Linked DNA regions of Coturnix japonica. The protein of the gene in region 1 binds, or shares a complex with, the protein of each later gene. Links are inferred from orthologs where the notes say so. Each region holds a gene or a part of one and is shown on either strand. Other genes may lie near its edges.

The links.
Region 2: TRAPPC8 (region 1) and TRAPPC12 share a complex: the UniProt entries of both Homo sapiens proteins name them as parts of the multisubunit TRAPP (transport protein particle) complex. The link is inferred for Coturnix japonica from reciprocal best matches to the Homo sapiens genes TRAPPC8 and TRAPPC12.

Annotation. Positions count from the first base shown.
Region 1 is NC_029517.1:96,035,791-96,039,607, reverse strand, and holds part of TRAPPC8 (trafficking protein particle complex subunit 8), read left to right. Parts: intron 1-347; coding exon 348-505; intron 506-960; coding exon 961-1,403; intron 1,404-2,310; coding exon 2,311-2,458; intron 2,459-3,671; coding exon 3,672-3,768; intron 3,769-3,817. UniProt on the Homo sapiens protein: Plays a role in endoplasmic reticulum to Golgi apparatus trafficking at a very early stage. Maintains together with TBC1D14 the cycling pool of ATG9 required for initiation of autophagy. Involved in collagen secretion.
Region 2 is NC_029518.1:85,458,816-85,462,732, forward strand, and holds the start of TRAPPC12 (trafficking protein particle complex subunit 12), read left to right. Parts: upstream 1-1,147; 5' UTR 1,148-1,230; intron 1,231-1,238; exon of another isoform or gene 1,239-1,309; intron 1,310-1,734; 5' UTR 1,735-1,738; coding exon 1,739-2,944; intron 2,945-3,917. Other genes in the region: EIPR1 (EARP and GARP complex-interacting protein 1), read right to left, coding at 1,023-1,064. UniProt on the Homo sapiens protein: Component of the TRAPP complex, which is involved in endoplasmic reticulum to Golgi apparatus trafficking at a very early stage.

The DNA.
Region 1 (3,817 bases):
GTCTGTTTTTGAAAGGAAATGGTTGATGCTATTTTTTTTCTAGCTTGGAAATTAGAAAATTAAATTAATTAATCGCATTCACTCAGCAATTTTCCCACTCAATCTGGTGTTCCTATTTTCTAAGCTGCTGGGATTGTAAGCAATTATAGAGGGCAGAGTTAGTTTACAACATGTATTTGGCGCTCTTAACTTGCAGTAATAATGCATGCTGTGTCACTGTAGTTCTTTGTTAGTAATGATGCTTAATCAGCCCACAGTGACAAAAAAAAAGGAAATTTTGATCACTTTTTAGAAAAAGTTACTTGAGGTATTAAAAAAAAAAAAAAGGCTTATAAAAATTCTTTCAGGGAAATTTGTCTCCAATGGGTTATCTGTACGAGGACGACAAGACTTAGAAATCCAAGGGCCTCGACTGAATAACACAAAAGAAGAGAAAACATCTATTAAGTATGGACCTGACCGACGTTTAGATCCCATTATTACAGAAGAAATGCCTTTATTGGAGGTACGCAGTAATTTTTCTATTCACAGGTTTGAACAAATGGCTGAATCTAGAGCTACAGTGTTTCAAACAACAAATTCATAAACCATGTTAACATTTAAGTTTTTCATGCTAATTTATGACCTGTTAGTTCCAAGTCTGTGTTTTGTTTCCCAAGAGAAACTTGAAGCCTTCCAATCGTTGTTGTTCTGAAGTTGTCCCTTTAGAATGTTTAGTTTGTGACTTTTATAGCCAAATTACTACTGGATATATGCAAGGGGCAAATATGTTATTTTTGTTTGTTTGCTGTAAGTCCAGAATACTTCAAGTTGGTTAATTAAAACTGTGATTTTTCTTAAAGTGATCTACCTGGTTAATGACAGCACTTAAACTATAAGTGTTTTAGTTGTTTTTTTTAATGCCTGTTTGTAATTTGGTTCGTTGCTCAGAATCTTTTCCTCCTGTTCTCTCCAATACAGGTGTTCTTTATAAACTTTCCTACAGGACTTCTCTGTGGAGAAATCAGAAAAGCGTATGTAGAGTTTGTGAATGTAAGCAAGTGTCCTCTTACAGCGCTGAAAGTTGTGTCCAAGCATCCGGAATTTTTTACTTTTGGTGCAAATACTGCTGTTCTAACGCCACTAAGTCCTTCAGCTTCTGAGAACTGTAGTGCTTACAAGACTGTTGTGACAGATCCTACCTCTGTGCGTACAGCACTACTATCTTCAGCTTCTTCTGTAGACTTTGGGGTTGGCACGGGAGGTCAGCCTGAGGTAATACATGTCCCACTTCCTGATTCGATTCTTCTTCCTGGGGCATCAGTGCAGTTGCCAATGTGGTTACGGGGACCAGATGAAGAAGGAGTTCATGAAATAAACTTCTTATTTTACTATGAAAGTATTAAAAGACACTCAAAGATGTGGTAAGTTTTGTACTTTTCTTTCTCGTCCTTCTCATTGAGCTGTTAATAAGCACATAAACTTGAGCTTTAAACTTACTGAGATGTTCAAGTGGCTTGTCTGTAATTTTAAAATAATATTTATACAGTGTTATCTGATTTCTATGTGGAGTTATACGTGAAGTTTGATTTACACTCTGTTTTATGGCTCCTTTATGGAATACTCTTGGGACAATGGGCATTTGAGTTTGATATCACAAGCTAACAGCATTTTCAATGTATTGAAGTTCACTTATTCTAGTTCCGCCCTTGTCCCAGGCTATAAAGGCTCAGGAGAACTTTTCTGAGGAACTAGTTCTCCAAAGATTCTGGAATAAATAGTTAATTGGTCTGAAAAGTGAAGACCAAAGAGGCCATAGCATAGTTTTAGCAAACAGATAAATTAAGAAACGAAGAGTCTCTTCCTCCCTTCTTAACCCTTCTATACTGTTCTTACAAGACTACCTTACAGTTGTTATGGTTCAAAGCTACAGCTGAAGTTTAAACAGGCTTTATTTAGTTTTCAGCCTTCTAAGAAAACACGTTGCAGACTTAATAAATGTAATTATATATTTTTCTGGGGGTAATTCTGCTACAGAGATGAATGTTAGATTTGTTTGTTGGGAGAAATGTTCCTTAGCCTGCATTAAGTAGCAGCACGGACTAGAAGGAATGCAACTGTGGGTCAGGATGGGGAATGTCATAGAATACAGTTTCAGGATGATGGTGCTTGAGGTGTGTAATAGAAGAATGTCGTCTTGATGATTGAGGAAATAAATTGTCTAACAATGTTAATATTAATGAGAAATGTGAAAGGTGGACTTGATGAGGTGCTCTGGACATCAGTCTTGGTTCTTCAGAATGTCTTTCTCCTCTCTTTCCTGTTTCCTAGTCATAGAGTACTAAGGCACACTGCAGTTATTTGTACTAGCCGGTCTCTGCATATTCGAGCTACTGTCTGCAGAAGTAATGCACTTGAAGATGAAGAAGGCAGAGGGGATAACATGTTGGTGTTTGTGGATGTAGAAAATATCAATACTGTAAGTTCTTAATTTTAATAGTGATAGTGTTCTTAAGTTCAGTGTATGTGTAAATGTCTCCAGTGGAACCAATGTTTAAAGCTTTTTTTGAACTATTGCTTTGACTGGAAATATTAAGTAAGCCTTTCATACTTAATCATTCCAGTTAATGTTAGTGCGTTCTTTCCAACAGTAAAGCTATGTATCAGAGCACTCTGGGAATCTGCTGTATAACTGTCTCTACCCCTAAATGTATGTGATCTCAAGCCTTTTTCTTTCAGTACCTTTTGGAAGATTATTCCAAAGTCATGGATGTTTTTGACGTTCATGACTTTGAAAATAGACCTGAATGAGACAGTCTGTATTGCTGCCCTGTGTGCCACACCCTCAGTAGAATTAGTGACATCTGAGGGAACATTCTGTGTTTGTATTTAGTAGAACTCCTGAACAAATTTTTGCAGGTATAATGGAAGCGCAGACATATCTGTTGTTGTCTGTTGACTTAGCAGAGCAGATAACAGTGTTTTAGTTTTTCTTACCATGCTAACTCAAGTGTACTCAACGTTTTTTAGTTAAAGTTTGTTTCGATTTTTCAACCATAAAGCAAGGTAATCAAATGTCCTGCTTATTAGAATTCCTGAATGTGTAAACGGTGGTAGAATCATGGAGCTGATTTGTCATTTTGTGTTGTGTATGCTGTTTTTAATTCAGCTACTAAGGTGAGGAGGAAGAATGTGCATTTGTCTAATTTGCAGATCGCACTGTGGAACTTAATTTTCTGCTGTTGACTCCTCCTTTCCATGAAAGAAAAACAACCCTGAATGTTGTTTATCCTCATATGTGTATATATGTAATAAAAATCCTGAACTCCTGGGTTTTAGGATCTTGCAAGAAGGCTGAAGTAATCTTAGAAACTAAATGCCCTTTCAGGCAGTGGTTTCTGTTGGAGGTTTTTTGTATCTAAAATGCCACCTTGGGGGAATTTTTCTTTGGGATTTTCTTTCTTTGTGTAGTTTTATTCACTAGAATTAAATTTCTTGGATTGTTCTACGTCATAGTGGGTCTTTGATCCCCCCTTATCTCTCCTCTGTATTATATTGCACATGGTTTGAAATGAGGAGTTAAATGGATTTTCTTGCCATGCCTGTTTGTGACAAATGCTTACTTTGCAATGAAGAACTTGACAACTATGACTGCTCTTATCTGACTTTTTTTTTTTTTATTTCCTTCTTAGAGTGAGACTGGTGTTAAAGAATTTCACGTAGTACAGGTTTCAAGTAATAGTAAGCACTGGAAACTTCAAAAATCTGTAAACATCTCTGAAGACAAAGGTGTGTATCCCTATTATCTGAAGGACAGCAAGTCCAGTTTCTGCCTGAT
Region 2 (3,917 bases), on another chromosome or scaffold:
AAGCTCAGTCCTTATATCCAAAATCACAGAACCATAGTAGTTGTAAGGGTCTTCCGAAGCCCACCTAGCCCAATCCCCTGCTGAAGCAGGTTCCCTACAGTGGGTCATACAGGCAGACATCCAGGCAGGTCCTGAATATCTCCAGAGAAAGAAACTGCACCACTTTTCACAGAATCACACACAGAATCACAGAATGACCCGGGTTGGAAGGGACCTCAAGGATCATGTAGTTCCAACCCCCCTGCCTGGCAGGGCCACCAAACATACACATTTACTAGATCAGGTTGCCCAGGGCCCTGTCCAACCTGGACTTGAACATTTCCAAGGACGGGGCATCCACAACCTCCCTGGGCAGCCTGTTCCAGGGCCTAACCACTCTCCTAGTGAAGAACTTCCCCCTAACATCCAACCTAAATCTACCCTCTTTTAACTTAAAACCATTTCCCCATATCCTGCCATTGTCAGCCCTTTCGAAGAGTTTACTCCCCTCCTGGGAGTAAGTTCCCTTCAGGTATTGAAAGGCTGCAATGAGGTCACCCCGCAACCTTCTCTTCTCCAGGCTGAACAAACCCGACTCCCTCAGCCTGTCCTCATAGGGGAGGTGCTCCAGCCCCCTGATCATCTTTGTGGCCCTCCTCTGGACCCTTTCCAAGGGTATATAGGGATATAACCAAGTACAGTTCACAACTTCTTGTTAAGTTCCATGTTCTACCCTCAGAATAGGAATGGGGCGGGGGGAGAACCTGAAAAGGAAGAAACAGCTTGAAGAACCTACTGGAGACTACTGGCATCTCATCCACACAGCACAAAAAAAGAGAAGGCTGCTAGAGAAGCACACAAGAAGCTGACAAGGAAGCAGAAGCCCAGGGCACGCCGGAGACACAGCCGAGCATCGCAGCAAAGGGACACGGCAAAGGAGCAGCCCCAGCGGGGCCTCTCAGCTCACCGAGGGCCTCAAGGAGCGGCACAACGGCTCCTACGGCTGCTGAAAGCTGAACCGACCCTCTTCCATCCGCACCCACCTGGAACTCCAGCCCGTAGATGACCGGCGCGTCGTCCTCCATGCCGACACACACCGCCTGCCTCTCCCCTCTGCTCCTTTCTGACCCTCGGCGCTGCCCGTCGGCCGCTTTACGGAGCGGACCCGGCGCAGCCGCAATACCGCCCTCCTCGGCCGGCGGAGCAGGCGCAGTGGGGAAGAGCAGCGGGGGCGGCGGGCCGAGCGGTGAGGTGAGTAGGGGTGGACGGGATCCGATGAGACGGCAGTGGGGCACGGGCCTGCAGGAGGGCGCAGAGGAGGATGAGGAGAGTAGGTGCCCGGGGTGCTGCGCCCACCTTGAAGCTCCGGGGGGACCCTGCGGAGGCCCCGAACCTGGACGGCCTCGGTCTGTGCGGGAGGGGCCGAAGCAGCGCCAGTGTCAGTGTTAGTGTCAGTGTCAGCCGTGCTTCCCTTCCTGCCTAGGCCGGATCAGTCCTTGCAGGCACAAAAGCCGCTGTCTTGCTGCGTGTGCTTAGGTGGATGTATCTGCCAGCGAATCCCAGCGCTTGGGGTTTGCTCGGAACGCTGTGGGCTGAAGAGAGACGTTTTGTGATTTCATTCCTTGGGCAGATATTGGAGGAAAAATGTCAAACGGTGACATGTCTGTGTTTTTAGTGTAAAAGTTACAGTTTTTGTTTGGTATGTGGTTATTTGGAGTGGCCAAACTAATTTCTGCGTATCCTTTCTCCCTTCAGTGCCATGGAGAATAGTACAGGCAGTGCTAAGGATGCTCAGAGCACCTTGGATGAAGAGGACGGAGGAAATGCAACTCAGCAGAAAACTCGGGAAGAAATCCTTTTTCATGAGGAAACCATTGATCTTGGTGGTGATGAGTCTGAAGGGAATGAAACTGTATCAGAAGATTCTAATAACTTTATAGATAAGCTTAATGAACAAATGATGGAGAGTGTCATTATTTCAGACTCTCCAAACAACAGTGAAGATGACACCGGTGAACTCGGTTGCCTGCAGGAGATTGTAGAGCAAATGGAAGCTAAGGATAACCAAAATACTCAAGCAGAAGTGGGCAAAGAAGAGCTTTTAAGTAATGAGAGTGAAACTGAACATGAAGAGACACCCAAAGACATCTCTGAGATTGGAACTGATGATCAGGCATCTTTAAAGGAGGAATCAATTCAGGAAACAGAGAAAGATGAACCAAAGTTGGGAAACAACATTCCCGTTGAAACAAAGCCAAATGGTATTGAGGAAAGTAAACTCGATGACCAGACATCATCGCCCAGAACTAGCAAACCATCTGCTGAGGTTGAGCCTATCCCTGTGTGTACTATTTTCAGCCAAGCAAACAATGCTAATGCTCAGCCACAGCTGTTCCTGCCTGATGGCTTCGAGCCTCAGATGGTGAAATCTCCCAGTTTCAGTAGTATCATTGAGACTCCAGTGAAGTCTAATCCACAGGTGGTTCAGCCCAGTCCTAGTCTAAGCAAGTTCTTTGGTGATACTGTTAACACTAATACTTTAGCTTCAGATTTTTTTGATTCATTTACTACGTCCAATTTTATTTCTGTCAGTAATCCCAACGCAAGCTCTTCAGTTCCAGAACAGATGTCCTCTTTGTCAAATGGTGGAGAAGGTTCCTGTGCTCAGCCCAACCCTACTTTCTCTGTGGGAAATGGGAGACCTGGAGCAAGTGGTCCTCAAGCATCACTAGAAACAACACAGTCCCCCAAGCCATTCTCACAAATCCAGGCTGTATTTGCTGGGAGTGATGACCCATTTGCCACAGCCTTAAATATGAGTGAACTAGACAGAAGAAACGATGCATGGCTTCCCAGTGAGGAAACCAGAAACGTTCTGATCTCAGTTGCCACACAACAGTACAGCACTGTATTCATAGACAAAGAGAATCTCACCATGCCTGGATTAAAATTTGATAATATCCAGGTAAGAGTCTGTGGTTGTACTTTGGTTGTTCGTTGTATTTTAGAAATGCTAAATAAGAGCTTTCCAATAACGTGTTTAATGTAGTGCTTTGTTGCCAGCTGCCCTTTTGTACTACTCACATCCTTACTAGAAAATTTAATGACACTGTCTACTAGTACCTGAAAGGGCTAAAACAAAATCTGAGTCAATTTGTTAGCTATATTGGAAACCAGTATTGACAGCCTACATAAAATCCAGAGCTGGATCCAAGTATAAATGCACATGTATGAAAGTGCATAAGTGGAAAGATGACATTACAGTAGGTCAGTGTAGTATATTTCTATGTAAGACCTGATGCAAAATCAGCAAGGGGATCAAGGGGGCTTCCTCCTGCTTTCTTTGTTGTTATTTATAAGCAAACAGGTTAGCGTAGTCCAGTTTTGAGGTTCTCTATGGTTACATGAATTGCATTACATCCAGTTATTGGTTTTCAGTGGCCTGCTGTTCTCTTTCACTGGCCAGACATCCCTTGGTTTGCTGTCATTGTTCTCTATGATTGTAGGGCTTTGGATTGCTTATTTAACTGAAACTATAATTACGAAGTACTCAAAATGCCAACTAAAGCGTTTTGGGAGGCATGTTTTAATGTTAAATCAGTTTCCAATAATTCATTAAAGTTTCAGTATGAATATGCATTTGTAAACTGGAGGAATGACATCTTTTTATAGGGGCAAAGGGGACTAGTTTTAAACTAGTAGAAAGGAGATTTAGATTAGGAAGAAGTGTTTAATTCCATGGTTGGTGAGGCACTGGTGCAGTTGCCCAGAGAAACTGTGGTACCCCATAGAGGCCCTCAAGGCCAAGTGGAATGGGGCCCTGGGCATCCTGAGCTGGTGGGAGGCAACCCAGCCCATTGGAAGGGGTTGGAACTGGGTGGTCTTTAAGTTCCCTTCCAGCCCAAGCCATTCTATGAATTAAGCTCTATTTGAGTTTC